Linked DNA regions of Arabidopsis thaliana. The protein of the gene in region 1 interacts with the protein of each later gene in a pairwise test. Each region holds a gene or a part of one and is shown on either strand. Other genes may lie near its edges. The genes, in order: CYCA3;3, AT3G56370 and AT5G56040.

Region 1 (9,288 bases):
GTCTTTGTTGTACTTTTTTGTTTTTGTTAAGAGGATGTGCACATTCCAATATGATTTAAAGAGGCTTTTACATCATAGAAAAAAGCAGAAAACAAATCAATAAAAATCTAATAAACCATTGAAAAAATGGTCAAGCAAAAAAAAAAAAGTTTCTTAACTAGTGTTAGCAAAAATCATTGAACATACGCTAAAAGAGATAATACTCAATACTAATCTGCCATTCTAACAGATATATACAACCCAAAATTCAGGTAACTAACACTTCCAATACATAAGCTTCAAGCTTCTTTTACGCCATTCCTCTAATGGTAATATCTTCAAAGAAAGCAAGAGGTAGCTCCGGTGAAACAGGCATGGTCGCAACGCACTTGTACTGTACCAAGAGAATCAGATATTAGAATGTTCTTGTTGCAATATATCACAAGTTTAAAGTTACATCATTGAATTGTTGAATTTACCTTGTGTTGCTTGTACTTATTTCTAACAGCTTCTAGAGTGTTTCCTCTTCTGCTTAGATACAAGTCATGTATGATACCCACGCACACTTGTAGATCAGCTGCTTTGTACTTTGTGTATTCTTCTAGCATTTGATTCTGTTTGCATCACCAGAAGAGGATTTAGAATATAAAGAACTTTTTCTGTATAAGAACCTGTCATGGTTCTTAATTTGCTTACCCAAGGATGTTGTTTTGGACGGATGATGAACCGGGCAAGAAATACAGCTGAAGCAGACAAAAGAGATGGCAAATACTTCACACAGGTGTAATCTAACATACTCAATTCTGATAGATAGCAACAAAGGAACTCTATCTGCAATTGTGAGTCCTGCAAAGGCATGAAAAAAAAGAAGATTTAACAATAGAAATTATGAGATGCAAATGCCACAGTTTACAGGTACATCGATTTTGAGCTTACTTTGAAATCTTCTTGTGCAACCCGTGTAAACCGTCTGCACAAACACGACATAAAAAAGAGAATAACAATCAAAACAAGGGCAAGTAAAACCATGAAATCATAAGTTTAAACACCAGACTGTTTCAGAGTCGAACCTTAGGAATGTTTTGATGGTTGGGCTTCCTAATTCAAACTGCAGAGCAAGAAGTATATCCGCCTCCATCGACACCACTTCTTGTTTAGTAAATGTATTATCCGTAATGTAACAAAAATCTTCAACTTTAGGAGGACCTATCTCTTCATATTTCCTACTTTTTTAAAAGCAAAAATAAAGATTCCATAAGCCAACCATCTAAGACTCTTCACACCAACACAACAATAAACAAAGAGGATTAAGATGCTTACGACGCAATAAGCATTGCAGAAACTCCCACAAGCTGAAGCTTCTGCCTGTTAATAGGCTTCACAGACAAGAATCTATCAACATAGGAGATAGTGAGATAAAGCGTATCCGAAACAAGCTTGTACTCCTCAGCAACCTCCACTAACCAATCCACCAAAACCGCTCTCATGTGTGGAGTTAAATCACTCTGAACCTTTTCAATATAATCAGGTAGTGGTCTATGTTTCGGCTTCCCCTGAAAATTTTACCAATCCAAAAACAATAACCATTAGTCCCAAAGTATCAATCATCTCTAATTTCTCCAAACATATCATATAACCATAAGAGCAAGCTGTGATTGGACAAAATCTCAGAAACTTATCAAATCCACAACTTTAACCAAACCCATTAATCAATATCAAGTCCAACACTGTACCAATTCCAAAATAACATAAACTGATACCATAAGATCACTAAGATCAAAAATGATGGAATCAAGAAATCTACTAAAGATGATTTTTTTTTTACCTCCATTTCACGGAGATAAGCACAAATATCACTAGCAAAAGGCTCACACATCTGAGGATCAACAGATCTCGATTCGATTAGTACGCTAGCTTCAGGAATCATCAAAGCCTTCTTCATCTGCCTCTTCGAGGTATTAACACTTGTTTTAGCCTTAAGGGTCTCTCTTTCTTGATTGGGTACAGCAACGACATTGGACATATTCGGAAGCTCTCCGAGAACAACTCTCTTCTTACTAACTGGGTTTTCGTCTAACGCCATGGACGACGCTTTTCGTTTCGCCGCCGCTCTCGTCATCCTCGCACAGTTCTGATTCTCCGCCATGGGGTTATTTCAGTGGGAAAGTGAGATTTGAGAAAAGGGGTAATGTACAAGGTAGGTAAAAGGAAATGGGTTGAGTAAAAGCGCCATTTTTGTTGGGGAAGTTTTGAGATTTTTAGGTCATGGCGCTTCTCTGTGTAAATTTTCCGATTTCGAAATTTTTAGGGATTTGACTTTTGAGTATCCAAAATTTGGGGCTTTTTTGCAGATTTCATTTCCACATTTATTTGGCGGCTGTTTTCTCCTTTTTACCCTTCAAAAAGTTTCACTCCTATATTTAGACAATCATTATTGTTTTATTCACTTAATTAAAGATGAAAATAACAATCAATGAATGCTTTTAATTAAGGAAATTATTAGTAGTTGATTTGTTTTTTTTTCGGTTTTGGTTAAGATTCGGAATTAAGTGAGATGCTTTTAAAAAATTTAAAAAAAAATCGGTTTTGCATTTGTTTTTTTTTTATACTTTTTTTGGGTTTAGTTTTACATTTTTGATTTTTTTTTGGATACAGAAAAATAAATCCACTAAACCATATGAAAATATTTTGTCTAAACAATAATAAAAAAAAATCATTGAACTAGGAATTCATTTAACACCATTTCCTATATAATTTTTTCGACAAATTCAGCTATTAATTTAACAAAAATAATTGACACCAACGGACACTTATCTTATATTAGAGTTGTCAAAATGGGTGTGCGGCCCGTGGGCTGCCTGCGTCCAATACTTAATGGACCGAGTCATGGATAAAGCCATTATAAAACGGGCTTTAATGGTTATAGTCGTTAACGGATATGAACTTTAGCAGAGTAGATATGATGGACATGGGCGGCCCAATAGTCTTATAATGTTAGGTTAAATCGATTTGAGGAAAAATCGAATATTAAAATGGACATTATTGGATTGGACAAAGGTGTTAATGGATACGGACTATGTTCGTCCAATATCAAAATAGACATTATTGGATTGGGCTAATGGACATGGACACCCCGATTTGACAACTCTATCTTATATGATCCGCCTATCTGTTATTATCTAATAAACGTATGTTGGAAATGACCAGACCAATTCTACCAAATAATCTTTCCAATAAGGGTTCACTTGTAGAAATTGCCTTTTTATTGACTTAAATGAACAATTTCTGTTTTGTTTTGTTTTTGTCAAGGATCATAGCAAGTCTAAAGGCTTATCTTGTCATGTCTTCCCATTCATCTGGTTTCGATACCATTTGAAGTAAATTATTGACTACTAAAGTTTTGGCCTTCTAGGAACTTATAAATTTTGTCATAGGAGGCTCAATGATTAAACAAATAAAATCATGTCACATAAAATACTTCTTATCATATTGCATAATCGTATAAATTTCCAGAGTAACACATTAATTTGTCACCACAATGTTAATCAAGTAATAACACAATACATCTTCACAACACAAATTATTTGCTCCTGCTTCACTTCGATACATATAACATATGACTCCTCTAGCTTCAACTGTTGATCAGTGTCCCTTAGTAATCGAGCTCAGTAACAATTGGGAAATGAAAGATTGGTTCTGATCAAATGGTAACAACATCCTCCCAAAAGGTAACCGGAAGCTCTTGGTAGACAGGAATTGCCGCAACGTATTGGAACTGTACCATAAAAAGCAACATTTAAGTATAAATGATACTACTAATTAAATCAAATGATTTCATAATTTGTAATATGTCAATTACCTTATGTTGCTTGTATTTCTCTCTAACAGCTTTTGAAGCACCTTCACTTCTGCTCAGGTACAAGTCAAGCATGATCTCCACACACACTTGTAGATCAGCCGCTTTGTACTTTGTGCATTCTTCCAACATTTGACTCTGTTTTACATTACAAGCCATAGATTATTAGTGTCTCATTCAAAAGATTAACTCAACATATAAACCTGAAAAAGAGAGATTGAGACAAAAGTTCTTACCCAAGGATGTTGGTTAGGAAGGATGATGAATCGAGCGAGAAAGACAGCAGAAGCAGCCAACAAAGATGGAACAAACTTCACACAACTATAATCTAACATACTTAGTTCTGACAGATAGCAACAAAGAGGCTCTAGCTGCAAGTTTGGCACTTTGAAATCTTCTTGTGCAACCCTTATGAACCGTCTGCACAAACACAACAAAAGATGAGAACAAAGAACCATAAGATACAACCAAAAGTCAGTATTATTCATCACAATTCTAACCTTAGAAAAGTATTTGTCGTAGGCCTTCCTAGTTCAAACTCAAGCGCGAGAAGTATATCCTCTTCCATCTTCAACACATCTTGTTTCGTATAAGTATTAGCCGTAATGTAACAAAAATCCTCCACTTTAGGGCGACGTTTCTCTTCATACTTCCTATTTATATCAAATGCCAAAAAAGAGAAGCCACTCCATATGTAAGTTTCAACATGACAATGAATAGCAAAGAGAGTAATACAAGAGGATCAAAAACACTTACGAAGCGATAAACATTGCAGAAACTCCCACAAGCTGAAGCCAGTGCTCGTTAACCATCTTTAATGACAAGAATCTATCAATGTAAGAGACAGTGAGATAGAGTGTTTCAGACACGAGTTCGAACTCTTCAGCAACTTCCACTAACCAATCTACCAAAACACCTCTCTTGCTTGGTGTTATATCTTCTTGAATCTTTTCAATGTAATCATGTAAAGGTCTTAGCTTTGGCTTCACCTGAATATTCACCAAACCAAAAACACAAATCTTCAGAACATATCCACAAATTCTAAGTCCAAACAGAGAACAATCATAGAAACTCTTCAGATAAAGTATACTAAATTGACCTATTGAAACTTGTCAATGTTCTAAGTCCAAAAACAGAGCAAGTAGGAGATCTTATTACGTACCTCTAATTCACGGAGATACTCGTAGATATCTGAGACATAAAGTCCACACATCTGTGGATCATCAGACCTAGCGTCAATGTCAGAGCCTGATTGAATGTTCTCTTGAAACGCAAGTAGCTTATGTCGAATTTCCGCCCACTCTACCGGGGAAGCATCTTGAGGGTTATGGTCGGAATGAATCTGTTTATCTTTCTTAGACACCATATTTATCGAAAAACAAGAACACATCTTCGAAAGAACAACAATAAATCTTACACTAAGTCCTATATATAGAGTAGAAGACTCTATCCTAAAACAACCAGGTTTCAGAATTCAGATGAGAGATGAGACAGACTAAAAAAAAAAGGAAAATTAAACCAAAGCCCAAAACAATAACTTGTTGAACACGAAATCCCAAGTAATTAAAAAAAGGAAATTAAAAAAAAAATCGTTCCAAAACGTGTTAATTTAGAGAAATTACCTTTTTTTACTTGATTAAAAATCTCAAAAAGTAATTACATATAATTATCTTTTTTTAATCTAAAACTTGTAATTTTACTTTGGAGAAAATTGTAAAGTAGAACCCTAATTATAATTTCGATTTGATTTGCTTATTCCGCTGAGTTAGGCCTAAACGAGAACGCTACAACTTGTGAAGTTTTTGATTTTGCAACCAACACTTGGAGGTACGTTGTCCTGCATCCCCTTATCTGGTTTCTCACACCCAAGATCCTGTGTATGTTGATGGCTCACTTCACTGGTTCACACGAGGGTGAAAGTTGAAACCATGGTTTTGTCTTTGGATCTTCACACCGAAACTTTTCAAGTCATCGCTAAAGCTCCCTTGTTTCTTGTTTCTCAAGTTTAATCTCTCTTTAGTAAACTTGATTATCAATCTCATAGACAATCTTTTCTTTTCTTTTGTTTCTTGAGATTTTCATTAGTTTCTTTAAATTAACAACAATGTCTTCTAGAGTTTTAGCCCTCTAGGAATTTTCATTAAGTATAAACATACAGTAGTAGGCTCAATGCTTAAACAAAATAAGATCATGTCACATAAATACTTATATCATATTGCATAATTGTATAAAATTATATTATTCCGAATTTCACACTAAAATTTTGTAAATAAAAAAGAAGAGATTTCAATAATACATCACACATCTTCACATAACGCAGACTTATTTGCTCCTGCCTTCACTTCTATATTTCTTACTCTTCTAGCTTCACTTGAAGATCTGTGTCCATTATACTATTTGAAACAAGATTCGGTAATCCAGCTCCGTAACATTTGCTTAAGATAGCATAACCTCAGATCAAATGGTAACATCCTCCCAAAAGGTAACCGGCAGCTCTGGTGAAACAGGCATGGTCGCAACGCATTGGAACTGTACCGAGAAGAAGCAACATTAAGTATCAAGAAAGCTCTGCTTATTCAAATGATTTTATCAATGTGTAATGTTTAAGTACCTTATGGTGCTTATATTTCTCTCTAACAGCTTGTAAAGCACCTCCTCTTCTGCTCAAATACAAGTCATGTATGATTCCAACACACACTTGTAGATCAGCCGCTTTGTACTTTGTGTACTCTTCTAACATTTGGTTCTGTTTACATATTCACAACCATAAATCATTAGTGTCTCATTCTAAACAATGACCACAGCAGACTAAAACCTGAAAGAGACTGAGACAAATATGCTTACCCAAGGATGTTGTTTCGGACGGATGATGAACCGAGCGAGAAAAACAGCAGAAGCAGCCAACAGAGACGGCACAAACTTCACAGTCTTATAATCTAATATACTCAATTCTGACAAATAGCAACAAAGAGGCTCTAGCTGCAAATGTGGAACTTTGAAATCGTCTTGTGCAACTCTAGTAAACCGTCTACACAAACACCAACACACAAAATCAGAACAATGAAACTAAGACAAACCAATAAGTAATCATCACCAATACACACAAATCTAACCTCATAAAAGTATTAATCGTTGGTCTTCCCAACTCAAACTGAAGAGCAAGAAGTATATCAGCTTCCATCTTCACAACATCTTGTTTCGAAAACGTATTATCCGTAATGTAACAAAAATCATCCACTTTAGGAGGACTTATCTCTTCATACTTCCTACAACATTTCAATACTTCCATTAGCTTCCATACATAAACAATGACAACAAACACAAGAGAGGAAGAATCATAAAACACTTACGAAGCAATAAGCATAGCAGAAACTCCAACAAGCTGTAGCTTTTGCTTGTTAACAGTCTTTAAAGACAAGAATCTATCAATATGTGAGACAGTGAGATAAAGTGTTTCAGATCCAAGTTTATACTCTTCAGCAACTTCCACTAACCAATCAACCAAAACACCTCTCATACTTGGTGTTACATCTTTCTGAACTTTCTCTATGTAATCTGGTAAAGGTCTCTGCTTTGGCTTCACCTGAATTCACCAAATCCAATTCAGATCCAATTCAAGAACTAAGTAAATGATTCTAAATCCAAAACACAAGATCATTATTACCTCAAGTTGACGAAGATACTCATAGATATCAGCAACATAAGGTCCACACATTTGAGGATCATCAGATCGAGAATCAATGTCAGATTTTGATTCTAGGTCAATAATAGCCACCGGAGCTGACTTAATCTGTTTCGCCGGAGGAGGTTTAAGATTCCTTTTTGGCTTCTGGGTTTCTTTCTTCTGATTGAGATTAGCCAAGAGATTGACATTGGAGACGTTTAGAAGCTCACCGAGAACAACTCTCTTCTTGTTGACCCGATCTCCGTCAATACCCATCGCCGTCGAAGCTTTTCGTTTCGCCGCCGCTCTTGTAACCCTCACGCAGATCTCTTGCTCTGTCATGATTGAGATGAGATTGAAGAGAGAGCGAGAGAGTGATGGGAAGAGAGAGTTTGAGATTTGAGAGGATTGAGAGATCGGATGAGTGGAAGAAGAGAAGGTGAGAAGGGGAAGAAAAAGGGAAGAGCAAAAGCGCCATTTTTTCTGATTGTGGCGCTCTCTGTGATTTTTTTGGAGTTTGAGTTTTTTGGGAGTCAACTAAAAAATTTTGGAGGTGCGAAAATTCTCTGAAATTTGTTTGGGCGGGTGATTTATGTTTTTTTGTTTTCAGATTTTGCCTGAAAATGTTTTTGACCGGTAAAGATTGGGGTTTTGGCCGTGGTGGTTCGATTCAGAAACAAATTTGACATTTGACATTTTTGTCCCTTCGAAGACATCTGTTAAATTTATAATTTAGATTGTAATATTTTGTCTTTGACAAAAAAAAAAAAAAAAAAAAAGATTGTGATATTTTGTACTTTACTAATCTTATATTTTTTAATAAAATATTTAGAATTGTTAAATGTACAATTTTCTTTAAACAAGATCATGACTTTTTAAAACTAACTAGTTTTTTAGGGTTTTTTTAAATAAAATTTTGATCCTTTTTTATTTTTTTTTATAGTGATTATTTTATAATTTTGAGAATTTTATGTTGTTTAGTATGGTCTAAATTGTGAAAACGATTACAGAAAAAAACAAAGAAGATATAAAGACCAAAATCTATAACTAAATAAACTTACGAAAACTATAATGAAAGCTAAGTGGAAAGCAGCTAGCATAGGTTCGATGAAGAACATCAATGTTGAACCGTGAGGCTCAGACATTTGTATAATTGTCCCATCTCCAACAAAAATTGAATCTTCATTATTGTTACCACGAGCAATTTCTTTATGAGGTCTATCTTCAAAACCTTAAAACAAAAAGACGCTAATAGTTTTTTTGAGAACTAACACAAAAACAAAACCGCTAGAATAGACTTACCTGACAGCAAAAGAGCATCTACGAACATCCAGAAAAGCCGCCTTTGGCCACCAAAGGCCACCATTCTCAAGCATAAAACTAGAAAAATCAGTTCCCACAATATAATATAGACATTCTAGACCAAATCACCGCTTCTATCCAACACTGAAAGCTCACTGGAACATCATGCGGAACAAACCTTTATCCTATCAAAGTGAAGAAACACAACAAACAATCAAAAACAACAAAGACACCTCCTTAGAGCAGAGCCAACCCAAGGCAAATTCAAGGTGAAGAAACGTTGCGAATATACATTCGGTTGAGAAACGATTATGTTTTCTAATTTCTTCTAAGCTCACCAAATATCATAATAGACCTTGATCACCTTTTAACTAGACTCAAAACTAATTTTACTCATCATCCACATGTTCAATTGATCCTCCACCCAATATATTTTTCAAACTTGATTGCCAAATAGTTCTAAAATAAAAAAATCTCTTGACTGCTT
Region 2 (11,447 bases), on another chromosome or scaffold:
AAATATGTTAGACCGGCACTGAATGTTTGTATTTACCTTCTTCGATGCCTTGGTCTCGAGGTTTCATTACCCTCCACTGTCTGCATAACTGGATACATTAACCAGTGGTCCTGCATCAGACTCGGTTCAATCTGCATCGTCAATTCGTCATATCCAACATTAAAACCGGTTCCGGTTCAGGCTGGTACTGTGACAGAGAGTTCCTCCACGCTAGTAGGGTTTTCAGCCGCTCGTTGACGTCTCCGAATAGAGTGGATATCGAGCTTAGAGAACTCGACAAATCTGATTCTGGTGACTCTTGTGATGATAAACTGAACTCAAGCTCCTTGACCAGATTGATTCCGTTGAATATCATTGACATTAATATCTCCTCCATCGTTTGATTATATCAATTCTATTGTGGTTCGATTATGCCTTCTTTTAAGTATTCACACAAAACATATGTAACACTTATTTTTTACCTTACAAATTTTGTTTTTTGCTTCACCTGTTTGTGTATGCATCTATATACACACATAAAAATATATTATAGAGCAAGAGGGACATGTAAAGAAAGATTGGATCCTATGTTGATTCGAATTTGAAAAAACAAAGATTGTGAAATATTTCAGAATGCGACGTATACGTAATACAATCTCCAATCATATAATGACTTTCGTCTCAATTCTTTTATTTGCGTTGACATATTGGCAAAACATGGATTAATTAAACTAAACTTTGCAATTGCTCCATCCCCATAACAAACACTTTAGTAATTGATTTCTTAATACTTAATCGATGTGACAAGAAGAAGATAAGGACTAGGCTTGTTTTTTTTTTTTGGTTAACAAAAGTGAGAACATGTTTTAAAGCGTTAGATCATGTTTATGTTTTCTATCGTCCGACAATTGATTTAACTTTTTTTGGAGGGTAAGTGTTTTGATAAACACGATAGAAGAAGAAGCAGATGCACCTTGATTTCGTCATCATAGTCTTGTTTTCAATATTTGTAGCTTTTCAACGTTAAAGGCGATCTTGGAAGTCCATGCGAAGACTTGGGAATTAAATGTTGAAATAATTGTCTGATCAAATATAATGGGCCCAAAAACGATTAAACAGGACCCACAAAGCTAAACTGCCAATAATGAATTCTAGATTTCTTGCAATCTGACCAAAAAGAACATTTCTAATTCATAAAACTAATCTACTCAGAGAGATCCTTATTGGGCTTTTATCTCTTCTCCACAAATCTTTAAAGATCAAGACAATCTTTGTCATTGTTTAGGAATACATCTTTAATTTTCTCTTATATTAGAGAACACAAACAAAAAAAAAAAAAAAAAAAAAATTCTATGAGCATTTGAGTCTAAGCAGATCTACCTTCAGCTTCTGCAATTTAAAAGATGGCATTTCAGTTTCTCTACATCAGATAGTTTCAGTGGCTTCTGCATAAACATCTGTGCTCCACTCGCTAAACATCTGTAATATCATCAAGAGATTACAGAATCTTAATTCACCATTGAGGAAAACAAAACAAGAGAACAGAACAATTAAGCAATGTGTCTGAGGAATGATAAGTTTACTTGTTGATGCGGGTAGGAATGTTCTCTGAAGACAATATCACAACAGGTACTTCCTTTAGATTCGATGATTCCTGCTGCCAATAATAAAAACACCATAGAAACAGAGACAAAGAAAGAGATTTTGTTAGTCTATATAACTCTATATTGATCTTGTCAAGAGGACTTTTCATTTGTGAGAAATTTCTTACACACCTTCACTTTCTTAAGCAGCTCAAAACCTGTCATTCCTGGCATACAATAATCAGTGATGATGAGATTCACCTTCATTACCTGAAAAAACAGTCTCAAAAGGTCATATTGGATGTTATACAAATGTCTCCTCTCCAAACCAATCAGAATGTTTCATGGGGAAGATTGAGCTTACATTAGTCAATGAATCAGTCTGTTGTGGATCTCCCAAGCCTAAATATTCTAAAGCTCTAAGCCCGTTTTCTGCAGTTGTCACTGTACAGAAAGTAAAATCAATTTCTTCATTTCAGAGGCAATGTTACCATATAGAAGAAATCTTGGTTCTTGAAATTTAGAAGGAAAAAAATTTGAATGATAGTTTACCTTTGCAAGAAGAGATCTTGAGGATTCTCTCAACAAGTTTACGGTCAATTAGATTATCATCTACTGCTAAAACATGAAGCTCCTCCTCCATTGACGATAAACAAGAATCACTTCCACTTCCACAGCCCTTATTCATCTCCTACGATTACAGAGAGATATCGTTTTTGTTCCTTGTGAGTCAAGCAACAAAGAACAAAAATCTGCACAAGAAGGAGGAGAATAAATGAGTCAGACACTAATACATTATACTGCTTTTAATTCTCAAACCTAAAGAAAACAGAGACAAACTTACAGAAGAAGGAGAGAAAAACAGAGAAATGATACATTAAAAAGATTTGAGAATGGATGTGTATATATATATATATATATATATATAATTATGTTGTTAATTTATATATGGATATATAGGATAACAATATATCAAGAAATGATTTGATATGATTTTATCTTCCTTATAATTTAAGATACAACAAGTTGTGGTTTTGTTCTTGGTATTTGATTCTCTGGAAACTGGTAAGAAACTTGGTGTTTTATGTCAGTGACAGTGCTTTGTGATCTTGTACGATGATAACGAAAATCCAAATATTAATTTTTAATTTCCCATTTGTTTGGCTTTTCTAATCGTGCGTATAATGAAGATGCAAATTTATAATCATATTTAATTTTCAAAATGGATCACAAATCTGTATCAGAATCTCAGTTACGAAGTCCCCATGATTCTCTAAAATTTAAGATATATTATCATTTTTAGTATTTGAATTTTTAAACTATGGGCTTGTTCGATGTGTATATTATTATTTGTCAATTTTAATTATCGTGAAAACCTCAAATTTTAATACGAAATCTTTGACCGATATGATAGCTGCATAGTTGCATGGGCCAGCCTTGTAACGCGTTATAAGTAGCTGCGAGTCGCATTTCTTTAGTTCAATTTGTTTTCTTTCCTGAAATATAATTCGGACTGTAGAACTTTGATAAGCCTTATTATTATCTGAGCCCATTTATCGTTTCTCATTAATGGGCCTCTAATGGAAGAGTTGGACCCATCTTATCCGTAGTTATTTACCATGGAATAAAAAATGAAACTGTAAGTAATCAATAATTAAATAAATATAAGAAAATTTGGAATTTTACATCACCGGAAAGTAAATATTTTACCTTTTAATGGCTGGTCCTAAATGCCAATCCTGATATGACAGAGGAAGATTCGAGTAAAAATTGAATGTGGAAATAAATACTAACTGTAGAAAACAAACAAAGGGTAAATTCTTCATATAGATGGAAAGCGAAGAACAGTAAATGTGAATTCGCTACGGTCCGGCTCACACTGCCCAAAAAATTCCTCGAAAGCTCTTAAAAACAGTAGTAAATTTGACCCTATATTTTTAGAATACATTAAAAAGTAAAAAAGGCCTCTTTGTTAAATTGCAAATAGAAACAAATAGTAAATTCCAAAATTTCCATGAAGGGTTGTTTTCCTTCCATGGGGAAAAGAGTTATTTTTCATTGTTTATTTCATAATAAATAACTTTTACTGTCAAAAGGAATATAAAATTTTAAAACATAGGTATGGGAGAGAGACCGAAGTCTGATAAAATGTCTTGACTCGGACCAAATCTCAAACGAGAAAGACAACAATTAAAAAAATTCCAAGAGCATGCTTAACGGATTATAATATTTTTTTCAACATCATTTGTTCTATTATCTGTTTTTTTTAATGTTTTATTTTATGGCAATAAGTGTTTGACACTTAGTTATTCAACCGCATTTCAATCTGTAGGAAAAGTTTACATAATGTATGATTCCTTGCACAAACAGAAGATCCAAAATTTACATCTGTAGCTCCTCCAAGTCAACCAAAATCCTTAGGTTTGTGATCCAATTTCAAAACCCCATAATTTTTCAAGAAAATTTGTAAACCCATAATTAATAAGTTTGATGCATTGACTACTGACCAGGACATTGTACATAAATGAACAATAACATTATGGTTGCAATTATTAATGATCTCTAAGCACCACAAAATATTTTTTCCAGGACACCATCATCATTCCTCACCAACTTACTTTAATGTTCTTACTTCAAAAAACAAAATAGAGAATCAAAATAAAAAAATGAAAAACCAAAACTATGGTGACCACTTTAACCACTGTCTCTTTCTGCATAATTTTTTACCCAAAATACCAATTCTCTGCATGAGAATAACAGAACCAACCACATTCCACATTATTTCCATTTTATGTGAAAGATTATTTTCTAATTAGTTGAATCATACCAAGAGGCCACAGAGCAGCATGTAAACCCATTAAAGAAAGTTTCTATTATTTGGGAAGGATAATTTAGTCATATTCAAATTTATAGTTTCTTTCTTTATGAGTTGGCCAATCATTTATTCATTTTCCCACTTACTATACCAACACAAAATAAAAATAAAAGCCACGTGTCAGCCAAGTCGGATTCGTCAAACCCAACAAAATAAATACACGTGTCAATTAAAGAGTTTTAATGAGTCCACCCACCTTCCTCGGGCCCCACACTCTCTTCTTTCCAGCCCGTTGATAAAGGCAGCTTTTAATTACTCTCTCTGCTCTCTTTTTTTTTCTTTATTGGCTTTTTTCTCTTCTTCCCAAATTCACTCTTCTTTTAAAGCTACAAAACCTAACAAAGTTGAAGAAGAAGAAGAAGCTCGTGCTCTCTCACTTTCTTTTCCTACGGTGTTTTTTTTCCCCCTGAGCTGCAACATTCTTCGTCGGAAATCTTCCCGGAGAAAATTCTTACTAGGTGAGAATTCCTCATTTCCAGATCGTAACTGTCCAATGACTCCTTTACTTAAAAAAACTCAAGTTATTTTGCTCAACATTTACTTCAGCCATTCACTTGAAGGTTGAATATTTCTTCAATTTCTATGAATTTCAAGTAAACTGTAGCTACTTCTATTCATATAACTAGCCTTTGTTTTACCGGATTTTTCTTCATTGTTTTTTGCTTTGTTTTGCTTCCTCCGTTGGCCGAAATGTAGCCGTTGAGATAGATTTTTGTTCTTTTCTTCTACTAAATCTAACGCCTAAGAATACGAACAAACAAAGTTTTTGTTTTGAGATGTACTGTTTTTTTTTTTCTCTTGTGTTCACCAATTTTCTTCTTTCTAATTTCAGCTCTACATAACTGAAAATGGAGGTCTTCCGCAACTAAAATCTGTTCAACGGAGAAGAGGGTTGTGGAAAGATGTACAAAGCACTGATTTTTACAGTCTTGTTGGTGTCGGCAGTAGCTCCGGTGAGATCTCTAGACCCGCCTTTAAACGACGACGTTTTAGGGCTCATTGTCTTCAAAGCCGATTTACGAGATCCAGAGCAAAAGCTAGCTTCTTGGAACGAAGATGACTACACTCCTTGTAGTTGGAACGGAGTCAAATGCCATCCGAGGACGAATCGAGTCACTGAGTTAAATCTAGATGGCTTCTCTCTGTCTGGTCGAATTGGTCGTGGCCTACTTCAGCTTCAGTTTCTTCATAAGCTCTCTCTGTCCAACAACAATCTCACGGGAATCATTAACCCTAATATGCTGCTGAGCCTTGTTAACCTTAAGGTTGTTGACTTGAGTAGCAATGGCTTGTCTGGTTCGCTTCCTGATGAGTTTTTCAGGCAATGTGGGTCATTAAGAGTTTTATCTCTGGCGAAGAACAAACTAACGGGGAAGATTCCGGTTAGTATAAGCTCGTGCTCGTCTCTTGCTGCTTTAAACTTGTCTTCCAATGGTTTTTCTGGTTCTATGCCTTTGGGGATTTGGTCTTTGAACACTCTAAGATCACTTGATTTGTCGAGGAATGAGTTAGAGGGAGAGTTTCCAGAGAAGATAGATAGATTGAACAACTTGCGTGCGCTTGATTTGAGTAGAAACCGGTTATCTGGTCCTATTCCTAGCGAAATTGGGAGCTGTATGCTGCTGAAGACTATTGATCTTAGTGAAAACTCTCTATCAGGAAGCTTACCAAATACATTTCAGCAGCTCAGTTTGTGTTATTCTCTGAACTTGGGAAAGAATGCGTTAGAAGGTGAAGTTCCAAAGTGGATAGGAGAAATGAGGAGTCTTGAGACTTTGGATCTTTCCATGAATAAGTTTTCAGGGCAGGTTCCAGACTCCATAGGCAACCTTCTAGCACTGAAAGTTCTCAACTTTTCTGGGAATGGGCTTATTGGTAGCTTGCCGGTCTCAACAGCCAACTGTATCAACCTCTTGGCCTTAGATTTAAGTGGGAATTCACTAACTGGAAAGCTTCCCATGTGGCTATTTCAAGATGGTTCTCGTGATGTGTCTGCATTAAAGAATGATAACTCTACTGGAGGTATCAAGAAGATCCAGGTTTTGGATCTCTCCCACAATGCATTCTCTGGCGAGATTGGAGCTGGTCTAGGAGATCTTAGAGACCTGGAGGGATTGCATCTGTCCAGAAACTCTCTTACCGGCCCCATCCCCAGTACCATTGGGGAACTAAAGCACTTGAGCGTCCTTGATGTGAGTCACAATCAGCTCAATGGAATGATTCCTCGAGAAACAGGTGGAGCTGTTTCTTTGGAGGAGTTGAGACTTGAAAATAACTTGTTGGAGGGAAATATTCCATCTTCCATCAAGAATTGCAGTTCCCTTCGGTCTTTGTAAGTCTCTTTTGCTTTAGGTTGCATTCTGTTAAGATTTTCCCATTGAAGATTATGTCTTAACTGTGTTCTGTTTCATGCTTCTTTCTACAGGATCCTGTCACATAACAAGCTGCTAGGCTCAATTCCACCAGAGCTCGCTAAACTTACAAGACTCGAAGAAGTCGACTTATCATTTAATGAACTGGCCGGAACACTTCCTAAACAGTTGGCTAATCTCGGCTATCTTCACACATTCAACATATCTCATAACCATCTCTTTGGGGAACTACCTGCAGGTGGAATCTTCAACGGTTTATCCCCAAGTTCAGTATCAGGAAACCCGGGAATTTGCGGTGCTGTTGTCAATAAGTCTTGTCCTGCCATCTCCCCTAAACCGATTGTGTTGAATCCTAATGCAACTTTCGATCCTTACAATGGTGAAATAGTGCCTCCAGGTGCTGGTCACAAAAGGATACTGCTTAGTATATCTTCTTTGATAGCCATTAGTGCTGCTGCAGCCATTGTGGTTGGTGTAATAGCCATCACGGTACTTAATCTGAGAGTGCGCGCATCAACGGTTTCAAGATCAGCAGTACCGCTCACGTTCTCAGGCGGAGATGACTTCAGTCGATCTCCCACTACTGATAGCAACTCAGGGAAGCTGGTGATGTTCTCTGGTGAACCTGATTTCAGCACTGGAACACATGCTCTGCTTAACAAAGACTGTGAGCTTGGTCGAGGTGGATTTGGAGCGGTGTACAGAACAGTTATCAGAGATGGGTATCCTGTAGCTATCAAGAAGCTCACTGTCTCGAGTCTTGTCAAGTCTCAGGACGAATTCGAAAGAGAGGTGAAGAAACTTGGAAAACTCAGGCATTCGAATCTGGTTAAACTCGAAGGATATTACTGGACAACTTCTCTCCAGCTTCTGATCTATGAGTTTCTCTCTGGTGGGAGTTTATACAAACAGTTGCACGAAGCACCAGGAGGTAATAGTTCGCTTTCTTGGAATGATCGGTTCAACATTATCCTTGGTACAGCGAAATGCTTAGCTTACTTGCACCAATCAAACATCATCCACTACAACATCAAATCGAGCAACGTGTTGCTAGACAGCTCTGGTGAGCCTAAAGTAGGAGACTACGGATTAGCGAGGCTGTTACCTATGCTAGATAGGTACGTGCTGAGTAGCAAGATACAGAGTGCGTTGGGATACATGGCTCCAGAGTTTGCTTGTAGAACGGTGAAAATAACAGAGAAATGTGATGTTTATGGATTTGGAGTCTTGGTCCTTGAAGTGGTTACAGGTAAAAAGCCTGTGGAGTATATGGAAGATGATGTTGTGGTTTTGTGTGATATGGTGAGAGAAGCTCTTGAAGATGGAAGAGCAGATGAATGTATTGACCCAAGGCTGCAAGGGAAGTTTCCGGTAGAAGAAGCGGTTGCAGTGATAAAGCTAGGGCTTATTTGCACTTCTCAGGTTCCATCAAGTAGACCACATATGGGAGAAGCTGTTAACATATTGAGGATGATCAGATGCCCTTCAGGGAGCTCAGATGAGTTGGGTTCAAGTTGAAAAGAAGGTTAAAGACTAACATGTTTTTTCACCAAGTTCCGGCGAAGAGGAATCCGGTTTGTTCATTTGGGGGTTTTAAGAGAAATCCTTGTTTGTGTTTGTTTTTTGATAATCTCTTATGTGTTATCTTTTGTGTCTGTTAGTTTCAATTTCAATGTTTGTAGCTTCTTCTATTTATTGTTCTTGTAACATTTTTAGGGCTGTATCGGATTTGTCTTCACCGGGTTCCATAATATGGGACTCTTTCGATGAAATCTTAAGTATTATTATGAAAGAAAGCCTGTAGTCTTCATTTCAGGTTCTGAACCATCTTTTAGCAGTCGTAGAAGATAAGAGCTTTCTTGTGAGACAAATAAAAACTTAGGGTTGAGAAAAACAAGAATCAAGATAAAACTTAGTGACTTCGTGTGATGATGCTCTCTGAACAAAGAGAGTATAAAATAACTTAAGAAGCTTCATTTGTTGTAACCATGTGCATGGGACTCTGTGAAAACTCAACAATTTAATGGGTCTGATCTTTTATTGGATTATGGGAATCGAAGAAACGTCTCAAGAATCTGTAATTAAAATACATTATTCATTAGTATCTTTTTGAGGGATAATATAAGTACATTTTTAACAGAAGAACCCTAGTTTCAATGGCCGATAAAAGAGGAATGGAGCATGCCTTGTCTGAAACAGACCACGTTTTTCTCTCTTGGAGTTGGGAAAGACGAAATTAGTACTACAATCTACGTTGTCTAGCCTCGGTAATTTGCAACATTTTGACATTTTAACTCATAAGTTAAAAATCCATTTCAATATTGTACATGATAGCATTAAAGTGAGATGGCATCTAACGTTTTGACTTTCTAAGCCAAATATGCTAACACTTTTTTTTTCCATTTGAAATGGAACCTGAAAAAATAAGTTACTTAAGGGACATTTTCCATTTATAATTTTTTTCTTTTTCCATATACAGCTTATTATTATATTACCGATCAATTCTTCGGTTTATAACTAGGTTGGAGAAAAAAATAATTCATCTTTCTATACACATTTTTTCATGTCATTAATATATACAGCTTATTAATATATGAGTTAATTCCTCTAGGTTAGCTTATACAGTATATATGTCATTTTCATTTATTGGATTATTTCCAAAAAAATCCCAAAAAGGAACCTTGTATAAACCAAAAAAATAAAAAAATAAGATTGTGAAATGTTAAAAAAAAAATATATATAATGGTGATCATAATTAAGCCATAACTTAAGAGTCTTAGATGGTGATGCCAATAATTTAGAGGTGGTTGATTAAGTGTAATCATTCACTTCCGTAAGTCCGATCGTGAAATGTCTTGTGCTGCTAAATGTGTATCGCTTGTCAAAGTCATAAACAATGAAACTCCTTGGCCCCTTTAGATTAGCTTATTGTATGTCATTTCAATTTATTGGATTCTTTCAGAGAATTCATAAAAAAGAAGAAAATAAACATTGGATCATTCATAGCCCATAGGAACAAAGGCCTATACCTTCCATATATTTACGGGCCTTAAAATCTAAATCCAATATCCAAATCCATATAAATGATCCAATCAAACAATCCATAATTTTCCATCACGACCATGTTTTATTCATTTTCTCTCTTTTCCATCTCCGGAGATCGACTCCGGAATTTTCCGACGGAGGTTATGAACTCTAATGCAACTTCTGGCAGTATCAGCTATAGGCTTTGCACTATGATCACTAACAGAAGTTTTAAATCCACCTACACTTTTGCTTATTGTGGTGTTAATGAATGCATAATTGCATATAGATCTTACACGGATTAAGTTGTCTACTTGTCTTGATTCAAATCCTCTATACTACAATAGCAACAAAACTAACAATGTTCTTTGATTAAACAAATCACTATAACCAACCAACTTTGACCATTTTATTTACATTTATATCACCAATCCAAATTCCTAAAAAATGTTCTGTATTAATAACAAATGTAATTTGATCATCCATAAGGGTTTCATAATCAAAACCCAAAGAGTATAAATAATTTACAGTGCAAATCCTTTGACAATCACTGCTCATTGACCAGTCTGCACCAACCACGAATTATTCAACTGTGACATAGCCGTTTCCCTAAAACTCTTGACCTTAACCAAACAGAAATGGGTGCAAACCGTACCCATACCCGACCGGACCCGGGTCGTTTTCAATAGATAACAAACCGGCCCAGTATCCGATCCTCTTCCTTGCGCCACAATCCCCCACGCGCTTGTATCTTCCCCACACGCGCCACCATCGTGATCATCATCATCTGCTATGTCACCGTCTGCGAGCTTCTCCACCAATATAACTCCTTCCGGCGTCCTCTCTTCTCCTCTACCCCACTTTCCTTCCATCTCTGTCCAATCCTCCGCCTTTGGATTCGTTGCCGTCGTCGTCAAACCACCATTAGCCTCCGCGTATAAATGCATCAATAACGGCGACTCTCTAAGATTCTTCACGATCTCAACCACCGAATCTCTCAACCACACATCTAGCTTCTCCCTCGACACAACAGATCCACCGCGTTTCCTTCCACCGATCCTTTCAATCTTCACCGCCGCAGACGGTGGTGACAAATCCTCCATCGACATCGAAATCTTCCCGATCGCACACATATTCCGTCGATTCGTCACTGGAACAACACATGACGATCGAGAATTCAAATTTAACGTGCGACGATCACAACGAACGGCGCATGCACTTCCTCCTCCGCAACAAATCCTCGCAGACGTCGCCATCTTCGCCTACCGGAAGATTCAATTGCAGAGACGAATAGGAATCGGAGAAGATATGCTGCGATTAGATTGGAGATTGCTTCACGCTGACGAATTCTCTTATAGAGTCAATCACACCAATGGTTGCTTTTAAGAATACGTTTTACTGACGCAGCCACACACAATCCAATGGCAATGATGAATTATTAAATACCTAATTTTTTTATTTCTCCAGCACGGAAGTTGTGTAAGTTGTTTGATCGGACGGTTGAGATTTAGAGATGGTAGAAATCGCGTTTATCTTATTCTTCACGTTATCCTCAAAAGTCTGAGGTGGCTTAAGTAGGTGATTATTCCCTGTAAAGTGTTGACGATATAGACT
Region 3 (11,594 bases), on another chromosome or scaffold:
TATGTTTTTTCAAAAATGTAATAATATAGTTTAGAGATTGAAAATTTTAAAACATATAGATAATTTTAATTAAATATATATATATAATGACCCTGGTCAAAAAAATTGTAGATCAACCATTGTACGCAGAACATACACCAATTTTTATAATGAAAAAGAAGTAGACCGACTCTTTTGAATATTCTTTTTAAATGAAAATGTAAATAAAAATGCGTGAATTCTCTTCAATCAAATAGTTTTTATTTTTCTTTTGTTGTATTAGGAGAAAAATGAACATGTAATTTTCTACATAAATCCAACTCTACAAAACAAAACCCATCCCATTAAGCAAAAGGCGCTCCCTCCTTTTAGTTTTCCCACTCACAATCTCTTTTTCAAAGGTAATAAACTTTACTTTATCTATTTAACCAAACACCATAACACATTTCCAAAATTTCCTTTCATTGTACAAACATCAGTTCTCACACCACCAAGATACTCAAAAGACAGAAACTTCAAGAGTTTCCTTCTTCCTCTTCAATTATCAAGACATAAGAACCCATGTCAAAATTTTCTCCACCGCCACAATCTCAACCACAGCCGCCCGAAACACCACCATGGGAAACGCCGTCTTCTAAATGGTATTCTCCAATATACACGCCATGGAGAACAACTCCAAGAAGCACACAATCAACTCCAACGACTACACCAATAGCTCTTACCGAAGTGATTGTGTCTAAATCACCTTTGTCTAATCAGAAGAGCCCTGCAACTCCTAAACTAGACAGTATGGAAGCGCATCCTTTACACGAGACGATGGTTCTCTTACAGCTAAGAACAAGCCGGACCAATCCATGGATTTGGTGTGGTGCAGCTTTGTGTTTTATCTTCAGCATACTTCTTATAGTCTTTGGGATTGCTACTTTGATTCTCTATCTCGCCGTCAAACCAAGAACCCCTGTTTTTGACATCTCTAATGCAAAGCTCAACACCATCCTCTTTGAGTCACCGGTTTATTTCAACGGTGATATGTTGTTGCAGTTAAATTTCACCAATCCTAACAAGAAACTAAATGTGAGGTTTGAGAATCTTATGGTAGAGCTCTGGTTTGCCGACACAAAGATCGCCACACAAGGTGTCTTGCCGTTTTCGCAAAGAAACGGCAAGACTAGGCTAGAACCGATCCGTTTGATTTCAAATTTGGTCTTCTTGCCTGTAAATCATATACTTGAGCTCAGAAGACAAGTGACGAGCAATAGGATAGCTTATGAAATCAGAAGTAACTTCAGAGTCAAAGCTATTTTTGGGATGATTCATTATTCTTATATGCTACACGGGATTTGTCAGCTTCAATTGAGCAGTCCACCAGCCGGTGGCTTAGTTTATCGGAACTGCACTACAAAAAGATGGTGAAGAACAGAGTTCATCTTCAAAGTCTCTATCTTTACCCTTGTGTTCTTCAAGCATAGATCTTTCTTTTGCCCACTCACAAGATGTAAAAAAACGAATCAAGATTCAACAGACTCTATGCAAGAGCCAAGATAAGATTTTTGTTGTATATTGTTAAGACATATCTAGTAAGGTTGGTGTAATTAAATGAGTCAAAGAGATAATTCTTATACGGCCACATGTTCTTATCACTTATTCATGTTTGCTTCAAGATTACTAAATCTGATCCGATCCATATTTGATCCACAAGATACAATCTAAAAGAAAAAGGATCTGACAGTAGATTGCTATGTTGGTTCTTTTTTGGTTGAAAGAAATCAAAAGAACAAAAGGAAGCAGATTCATCTCCTAACACAAGCCAACATGGAGTTCTTTTTAAAATTTATAGTCTTAACTTCATGAATACTTTTTTTCTAGGAAACTTCAGGAATTAGCTACAAAAGTGTCAATTGCAAGTGGCAGAGAAAAGTTAAGCAAGAGATTGACTGGCTAACTAGCTTAGCCAGGAAAAGCATGTAAAGTTGAGATTGTATACGAAGCCCAAATTCTCAGCAAAATCTTTAGACAAAAGCAAAAGAAAAGGGACCTAACAATTTGGGGTTTGAGAAACATCAAATGTCTAGTGGTAGAGACTGAAACAACGATCGACAACACAGACTCTTTCACAATTTTAATACTTGTGTCAGCAAGAAATTAGTAATCAATTCTAACTTTTATCTGCATTCCATCATATCAACTTGCTTGCAGTAGCCTACTAAAAAAAGTACTAACTAGACGAATGAGAAAGGAACAAGACCTAGTTTAGGCTTTTGAGAAGAAAACATGACAATCCTAATTAAGGGTGAACAAGAATTAGTTCTGCATAGACCTAGTTCTGTTTTATTCACTTTAGCTTCCACGGCAAGCATCAAGGCCTTCTGATGCATCATTTTTTACCATCTTAAGGAACCCATTGTTTCGAAATGGGGTCACAGTCTGCCGCAAATTAAGAAATCCTAGAACTAGAAGATCAGATTCGTACTCAGCATTACGTTCCTCATCTAGAAAAAACCCTAATCCAACACCTGAGAAACGCATCCCTCAATGTTAAACGTTATATTGAGAAATTGGTTAACAAAACAACACTTTGGTTAAACCAATTACGGTTCTCCGAATTGGTTTACTCAGTCGTATTTTAATTTTGTCATTTAACTCGATACGATAGAAATCTTCTTGTACATATTTAAACGGACTCATTTGAAACACAACAGGCCCGTTAGGCCCGCGAATTTGAAACCCATTATATGTATGTATCCGGATCTCATACCCGGTTAAATATCTCTAGGAGAAACTCTTGCATGGATGATGCATGGGCACAAGACTTGAAAATGAAAATCATGAGATGATGTAATGTTAGCTCACAACAATACATCGAATCGAACACATGAAGTGGACTCCCGTACATTCCGCATAATCATCATTAGCTTTTTGTTGCTTCTGTCTGTTGCGAGACTTCAATAACCTTTTTCACATATTTTTTTCCTTTAGCTGATTTCGTATTATTTTGTCAATAGTTTGTTTCAAAAATACGAAAAATAATCATTAATATCACGAGTAATGGATCTACTCATCTACACGAGAACTAATATATTGTTCGGGATACGAATTTGTTAAGATAATTTTTCTCTTGCTATACAACTAAACTAACTACATTTAAACTGTGATGGCAACTCAAAAATCAGGACTAATTTAAAAAAACTTTTGGAAGTCACTATCAAAACCTCTTGAACTTAAGAGATTAAATAGACAAACATATACACAACAAAGAGAAGCAACACCCACAAAACTGAAAACTGTCGTTCTTACATTTGGTTAAGGCATGTGCAATCTTATTATTGTGTGCACACAAAGTTTTTTTTTTTTTTTTGATAGCTTAAAAAGGTTATGTGAGCCTCGAGTCATCTTCAATCTTATATTATATAACCAAAAATATTATTTATTGTATTTAGATGATAAAAATTGGTGATTGTTGGCTGGAAAGTCATTGTTATTCAGACAACACATGATCATGTGATGGGTGGCGCGTGGGTCCACGTGATCCCACGTCGAAAGCCTCTCTTATAAATTTCACAAAATTAGCAAACATCCAAAGATTATATAATTTGATAATTGAATAAAAATTTTAATAAAGAAGAACGAATCTTTCTTCTGTATGTAACTCCAAACACTCCCGGCCTTTCTCATCCAGTATTTGTATCTTAAATTCTTCAAAAATTACAAAAGCAAATACCTTCAAAAATTTTATAAATAGTAACTCATCATGTTCTATTTTTTGATATAATAGAATTGTGGATCAATGTTCAAACTAATCTTTCTCTTCCTCAAAATTTAGTTTCTGCAATGTTCAGACAAAATGGACTATTGAACATGGATAATTCTTGGATCTATGAATTTTCGGTTTAGCAAAGTTAACCAATATCTCCAATTATTTATGTTTATATTATTATTTTGAAAATAAAAAATAATAAAATAAACCACTTCAAGCTATTGAAATTATTTTACAATACATTCTTTCTTCAACTCGTTTGCAAGAAAAAATAAAATTAAAACTCACAAACCAAAACAATAAGCTAAGCTTAGATCTTTCTTTCCCTGATTCTAACAAATCATCGACAACAAATAAATATTCACACACACATTTTATAAATGTCATCACCCTAATCGAACTCCTGTAAAATTTTTTATACGGATTCATCCGAGTAAGCAAACGAACAATTAGATGAACCTCGAGGAGTACTGACAATTTTCTCCGGTGGTAACGGTTGCGGCTGCCATTTTTCGCATTTTCCGCCTTTTATCATATCGGATTCCGATCTATCCATATCAAACTGCCTAATCTCTTTAAGCATTGCCACAATGTCTTTCATCATAGGCCGATCGGATGCCTTGTTGCTCACACAAAGGAACGAGACCGCTAGAGTTTGTAGCATCTCATGCATTATAGGATCTGCCCGCCCGCGGAGTCTCGGGTCAAGAATTTCTCTAGGATCTTTCTTTCCGGCTAAATGATCTCTCACCCATTGAACCAAATGAGCACCTCCGGGTAGATCCGGGTCCAATGGATGCTTCCCGGTTAAAACTTCTAGTAGCACCACTCCATAGCTATACACATCACTCTTTTCTGTTATATGTTGCATCGAAGCATGTTCTGTAACAAAACAAATAAAATCCGTTATAAAGTTAATATTTCGAAATTGATAAGTTTATAACGTTAAAATCGAAATTTTGAATTTTACCTGGAGCCATGTAACCATAAGAACCGGCTAACGGAGGCCGGTTACTCAATTTAGACGAATCTCCATCGGTAACTCCCTCACCGGAGACGATTTTTGCTAAACCGAAATCGGCTAAGTAAGATTCGAAGCGGGAACCCAATAAGACATTCATAGCTTTAACGTCACCGTGTAGAATCGGAGGAAGACAATCATGATGAAGATAAGCTAGTGCATGTGCAACGCCTAAAACGACGTCGTAACGTGCTTCCCAATCAGCTCCTCCACTTCCTTTACCGGCACCGTGAAGCAGAGAGCTTAAACTTCCGTTAGGAAGATAATCATAGAACAAAAGCTTCAGATTCCGATTCGAACACCAACCCAAAAGACGGATTATGTTCCTATGTCGAATCGATCCAAGAGTGTTGATCTCTGAGTTAAACGCTCTGTTTTCTTCCTTTGACCACATTTTCTTCACAGCTAAAGTTTCACCGGACGGGATTGTGACTCTGTAAACTACACCGGAGCTTCCAGTTCCGATCACGTTAGCTGAAGTTAAGTTCTTGACGATGTCGTCGATGGAGAAATCGAGTTTCTGATAAAGAGTCACTTCCCAAGAATCTAACTCCTCTTGTTTTCCGGTGATTCGTTGAGCTTTGACGAGAGTGTAAACCGCCATGAGAACAAGAACGACGCTTGCTGCTACGAGGATCGACATGGTTACTTTGACAGCCGAACGGTGTCGGGTTTGGATCCCATTCTCGGGTCGGGTCGAAATAAATAGCCCTTTGTTTGATTCAAGAACAGAGAGTGGAAGTTTCCTGAAAAACAGAGTATTTGGTAACTCGCCTGAGAATTCGTTGAAGGAGATGTTGAGTGAGACGAGGTTCTGTAGATCAGCTAAGACGTTTAGGTTTCCGGCGAGTTTGTTGTGAGAGACATCGAGGGTTCCGAGATTAGTGAGGCTAGAGAATCTCGACGGGATCTCTCCGGTGAAGTGATTGCAGCTGAGATTTAGAGAGATCGCAAGAGACGGGATCCGTCCTAACTCGTTAGGGATTTCTCCGGTGAAGCCATTGTCGCCGAGGTTGAGAAGCTGAAGACTCCGACAGGAAGATATCTCTCGAGGGATTTCGCCGGAGAAACGATTCTTCGCGAGATTGAGCTTCGTGAGTTCGGTTAACGATCCGATTCCGGTTGGTAGAGAACCGGTTAATGAATTATCGGATAAATCAATGAATTGTAAGCTCTTCGGAAGTGTACCGGGTAAACCACCGGTTAAACCGTTTGAATGTAGATCGACGAATTCGAGACTTGTACAACCGGAGATCTCCGGAGGAATGTTTCCGATGAGACGATTCTCACTTATATCGATGAAGTTGAGATTTTTCAGATTCCCAATCTCCGCCGGAATATTCCCCGCGAGTCTGTTACCGTTGAGTCTTAACCGGTAAAGATTCGTGCAGTTTCCAATATCCGGTGGTATGAATCCAGATAAGTAGTTAGAGAGAAGAAGAAGCTTCGTGAGGTTTCGAATCTCAAAGATTCCATTAGGTATCGAACCAGAGAGATTGTTGTAGGAGAGATCAATCGCTTGAAGCTCTTGACATTGAGAAAGAGACTCTGGAATTATTCCGGTTAACTGATTCTGCCACGCAAAGAACATCGTCAAGCTTGTTAATTTCCCGATCAACGGCGGAATCTCGCCGGAGATTTGGTTGTTATCGATCTCTAAATGCGTCAACTTCGTGCAATTCGCGAGTTCTTCAGGGATTGTACCGGAGAGCTGGTTAACACTTAGCTGAAGCTCTTGGAGATTTGGAAGGTTTCCGAAGCTTCTTGGGATGTTTCCGGTGAGGAGATTTTCCGATAAATCGACGAGGAAAAGCTCCGGACAGGTGCCTAGCTCGGTAGGGATCTTTCCGACGAGATTGTTTTGCCATAAGAGAAGACTTTGAAGCTTCTTGAGACGTCCCATTGATACAGGAATCGATCCAGAGATTGAGTTTTGGTACAAGTAGAGGTTTTGAAGCTCTGTGCAGTTTCCAATCTCATCAGGGATTGGACCAGACAAGAGTGACGTGTAAAGAGCTATTGTCTGAACCTTTTTCAGGTTTCCGATCGACGCCGGAAGTCTACCGGAGAGACTTGTTTCGGCGAGACCTAAAGTCACAAGACTCTCGCAGTTACCAATCTCCCAAGGAAGCTCTCCTCTGAGATTCTTGTTACCACCTGCACGGAAGATTTCTAGATTCTTGAGTTCTCCGATGGTTCTAGGAATCTCTCCGGCGAGTTTATTGTCGAAGAGAGTGAGCTCGATGAGGTTAACGAGATTCCCTAACTCCGATGGAATCACACCTTCGAGATTATTTGTGTTGAGAGACAGAATCTTTAGTTTCTTGAGCTTGAAGATATCCACAGGGATTTCACCAGAGAGAGAATTATCAGCTAAATCAAGAACTTCTAGCTCCGACAAGTCTCCAAGCTCCTTAGGGATTGAACCAGTGAGATTCACGGAGGTTAAGCTGAGCAAAGTCAGAGACTTTATCTGTCGGAGATTCGTCGCCGGTAACGGACCTTGAAAATCCATGACTTGGAGTTGTATCTCCGAGACTTGACCTCTTTCGTTGCATTTGATTCCCACCCATTGACAAGGATTCGATTCGGAGGCTTTCCAAGAAGATAAAGCGTCTCCGGAGATGTTCAACTGAGATTTCCATGAGAGGAGAGCTAGACCCTGTTCGTCTATGGAAAAACAGGGGATGGAGAAGAAAAGAGAGGAGTGAAAAAGAAGGAAGAGGAAGAAGCAGAATCTAGGGTTACGTGGCATTGGTGAAGAGGGAGAGGAAGAAGAAGAAGTGAGAGATAGAGAGAGAGGTGCGTTGGGATTGTGAAGCGAAGAACCCCATGGATTTGGTTTTTACTTTGATTTTATAGAAATATATAAAAACAGAGCAAACCAAAGGAGAGAGAGAGAAGAAGAAGTAGTAAAGGAAGATCTGGATCCCAAAAAGCACCTCTACCTTTTTCCCTTTATTATTATTTTCCAAACAATGTCACTTTATTTTTTCACCATTATTTGTTTGTGAACAAAACAGAATTATATAAGTTGAAAATTAAATAAAAATATAGATGAAAAGAGTGGTAAATTATATTTATTCCTTTTCTTGTAAGTGGATTTATCTGTGGTAAATGCTTCTAGATGAGGCATGCTGATAATATTATTCATAAATGGTAAAAAAAAAAAACTCCTATAGATCTAACTATTACATAGTCATAAATCATCTAAGAAAATTAGGTTATCAAATTCAGAAAATGACATGTTAGAATTGGCCCTATTATTTGTTATTTCTGGATTGTTATCTTTTAAGAAACAAAAGGAAGATAACGTTTACTCAGATCAATAATGACTTCTAGACTTCTAGTTACTAATAATGATATTTGTTGAATGCTACTACTAGTAGTACTACTACTACCTATTATTGATAAACGACGCATAACATAATTGGGGTTTTCTAATGCTTCGAAAGAAACATTTAGATAATTTGGATTGTGATTATTTGTTTTTTTTTTTGTTTACTTTGGGAGAGTCTGAAGTGGCTATATAGTGGTAAAAATGAGATTAGTAAATAACTGAAAGAAAGATGGAGATATCTACTTTGGATTTCTGATATATAAATTATTAAATTAGTAGTTGAAACATGGAATCTTGAAGAGTGTGAAATGCACATGAAAGCTAGGAATTTATGTGAAAGATTAATTAAATTTACTAATGCTCATCTCTGCTAGCATTGTCGGTCCATTTCATTCGCTGTAATTATCTGTTTATATCATACGTATGCTAATACTAATTAATATCCATATACATATATACACTTGCTCATACATATATTGAATTAAGATGAAGGTGTTTTAGATCCAATTTCTTGGACTGGAAATTTAGAATACTGATTAGAAAAATTAAAAAGGAGGAACTGGACAAAACAAAAAGATTATGGAAAAGATAAAGTAAACTAAAATTAAGATCATGGGTCAAGCATCATTAGGTCAAGAAGATTATATATAAAGATATAACACCACACCTCAAGTCACATGCCATAGTAGAATCAAAAGATTAAATATGTATCAATAGATATGTAGAGAGATGGTTATGCATGTGCATATCTATACACATAGTAAAGTGAGAGAAAGCATTTCGACAACATGGTTTTATTCTGCAGGTATTTAATTATGGAATAGTGTGTACTCTAATTACCGTAAATTTCACTTAAAAACTGGTGATGTTAATCATATATTGATGTAATATGTTTCGTAATATGTAACTTTTGTTGTAAGTTAGAGACAACAGATATTCTTTCATTTTAAAGAGTTACATTAATGGTAAGCAAGTAACAAAGTTTCTTTCTCACAAAAATACGAATATCTCTTGGGGTCTACCACATTTACATGAAATGTACATACTAAATCATTTGCATAAACAGTACTAGTGTGTCTAAATCATTCTCAGGCGCACCGTGGTACAAATGACCTCAACTTTAAGACCAAAAGTTTTGCTAACGCTTTGAATTCGACGTATGTACATATTTCGTGTGAGGCATTTCATCATTTGGACTAAGCTCCAACGTTTTGTCAACCCTTGATCTATAACTTCTTTCTTTGGTTTATAACTTATGGAGTATTTGTTTAGTTTTAATAAATAAATAAGAGAGTCATACCAAAATAAAATTAAAATAAGAGACGAACATGTGTGGGGAGAGTTAAATGAATATGGTCCATAAAGAGGAAAAATAAAAGGGAAAACAATAAGCCAAAAACCAACAAACAAGAAGGAAGTAAAGAGACAGCAAAAGATGCAAGAGAAAAGACAAGTACCCAACTGTATTTTCCAAACTTGTTAAAATTTTGATTTCTTTCTCAAATCTTATGATTATCATTAAATGGTCCATATTGTTCTTTTGTCTATCGCATCTATCGTTATTTGAATTAGTGTCGTCGACAATTAATGACTGTTATAGCTAAGCAGCTTCCAAATTATACATGTTCACATATGTATGCAATGAAGGGTGATGGTTTTTATTATAATGAAGTGTGATGGTTTTTCTTACTTTTAAGAAAGTTAATAGTGATGATAACAATTAAGATAAATTAAAAGATGTAGACTTGATTACGACAATGGAACAAGATCTGGATCTATATCACGTTTCGATTAGGTCAGAGATCTCACCACATGATGATAGAGCAATAGAAAATACGTCTAGGGATATATATATAAGCAACTAAGGATAAATATTACTAAGTGAGTGTTATAAATTACTAATTAAGTGGATCTGATCGATGATTATGATGGGCAATTTTTTACTTAGTTTTTTTTCTTTCTTTCTGCTAATTAAGTATATACAAGCATTTGTCTGTATCAATTTTATAAATTCAATTATAATAATAAAAACTGGTCCACTGTGGGGTATTTAGTAGCAGAAGCAGTCCAAGAATGTAGTGGCAGAAGTGTGAAAAGAAGTGGGCATCGATCAAAACTACTTATTTCTTTGTTAATTTGTCGATCCAATGAATATAACATATATTATGGTTGATCATGATAATGCTACGTCTTATGAGTGGCCATGTTGATAAAATTCCATTGGTTGTAACCACTCATACGACTACGAAGACACTGTAGTAAGAAAACCATTTAGATACTTGCTGATAATATGGAAAACCAACCAATCCAAAAAAGAGGAAATTTTCTAATATTAGTATTTAGAAAAGGCGAATAATTAGATTCATGCTTAAATTAATGTGGACGACGAATCACATAGTCAATATATAATCAAAGCTCATACACATTTCAAATCGAAAAACAAAATCCAAATATATGTGATGTACCATTTAGTGAAATTATACAGAAGAAGATTATGAGCCATGGAATGTTTCAACTATGAAAAAAACTAATCCACACGCACATAGGAATATGATGATTTCTTTCGTCGAGGACATATAGGATGATATTGTTAGATAAAACTTTTTATTACTAATTTGGGACATCTCCATATCAAGTGTGAACCCTATTATATATAGTTTGTAGTGTATAATTGATTTAGGAAAGTGTATATTTACAAAAACTGATATATATGCATGAATGTATGTAAGTAGACATTTTGTGTTTGTAGGTATGTATATGATGTGAAATGAGATGGGGCCAATGATAATGAGATATGGCTTTAAGAGGGAAATCATAATAGTGACCTTTTTTGTGATGACAACAACCACACGTGCTCTCATTCCTTCTACCAAAGGATTGCCTCTCGCCTTCGTTGCACCTTTTTTCCTCCAATTATTTCAGAACCAAATGATATTTCTCAATCCTAGTTTTTAGATCGAAACTCAAAACTCTTTCTTTTTAACTTCATTTCATTGATGTTATGTAACTCTCTTTTAGTTATCGCAAGTACTTCATTGTTAACATTCTCTGTAGAGACCAAAGCAATCTATAACTTTTGTAACTTACTTGATAAAAAACCAACAATCTAAAGTGAGAACTATATAGGATGTAATAAGAGAAATATATGTTAAAAGAAAACACATAACTCAGTTGAAACTCAATTTCATGAAAACATCCCTAGTCTTAACTAAACTGACTAGAGAGTTAACTTTGTTACTTTTAAGTTTTAAAAATTAAAAGAGGCACACCATTTAACTCTTGGTCAAAAAAATATGTTTTGGAAATATATAATATGAGTTTATATATGTATTCACCTTTCACTCTTTTTCTTCGTCCTTTAATCCTTTTCCGCAATCTTGTTAATTAGATTTTCAGCTTTCTTTTTTTTCCTTTCCGCTTCATGTTGTCTTTTTTTTCTTCTTCTTTTGATCATGCTAATTTTTCAATCTTAGTTATTTTAATAGTTCATATTTAAGTTA

What was found.
Region 2: the proteins of CYCA3;3 (region 1) and AT3G56370 interact in a protein complementation assay, tested with the Arabidopsis thaliana proteins (one large-scale study listed by BioGRID).
Region 3: the proteins of CYCA3;3 (region 1) and AT5G56040 interact in a protein complementation assay, tested with the Arabidopsis thaliana proteins (one large-scale study listed by BioGRID).

The regions. Positions count from the first base shown.
Region 1 is NC_003070.9:17,299,589-17,308,876, reverse strand, and holds CYCA3;3 (Cyclin A3;3), read right to left. Parts: upstream 5,202-9,288; coding exon 4,998-5,201; intron 4,825-4,997; coding exon 4,592-4,824; intron 4,489-4,591; coding exon 4,336-4,488; intron 4,256-4,335; coding exon 4,072-4,255; intron 3,974-4,071; coding exon 3,839-3,973; intron 3,755-3,838; coding exon 3,680-3,754; downstream 1-3,679. Other genes in the region: CYCA3;4 (CYCLIN A3;4), read right to left, coding at 290-373, 459-593, 676-825, 916-949, 1,050-1,205, 1,300-1,532, 1,805-2,125; CYCA3;2 (cyclin-dependent protein kinase 3;2), read right to left, coding at 6,293-6,364, 6,447-6,581, 6,680-6,863, 6,949-7,101, 7,186-7,418, 7,500-7,841.
Region 2 is NC_003074.8:20,896,283-20,907,729, reverse strand, and holds AT3G56370 (Leucine-rich repeat protein kinase family protein), read left to right. Parts: upstream 1-4,649; 5' UTR 4,650-4,895; intron 4,896-5,269; 5' UTR 5,270-5,339; coding exon 5,340-6,769; intron 6,770-6,862; coding exon 6,863-8,327; 3' UTR 8,328-8,631; downstream 8,632-11,447. Other genes in the region: AT3G56390 (WRKY transcription factor-like protein), read right to left, coding at 140-376; RR17 (response regulator 17), read right to left, coding at 1,362-1,458, 1,563-1,636, 1,755-1,832, 1,927-2,006, 2,115-2,250; AT3G56360 (uncharacterized protein), read right to left, coding at 10,388-11,089.
Region 3 is NC_003076.8:22,690,965-22,702,558, reverse strand, and holds AT5G56040 (Leucine-rich receptor-like protein kinase family protein), read right to left. Parts: upstream 7,737-11,594; 5' UTR 7,510-7,736; coding exon 4,704-7,509; coding exon of another isoform or gene 4,648-4,703; exon of another isoform or gene 4,616-4,647; coding exon 4,149-4,615; 3' UTR 3,914-4,148; downstream 1-3,913. Other genes in the region: AT5G56050 (late embryogenesis abundant (LEA) hydroxyproline-rich glycoprotein family protein), read left to right, coding at 541-1,392. UniProt on the Arabidopsis thaliana protein: Receptor with a serine/threonine-protein kinase activity.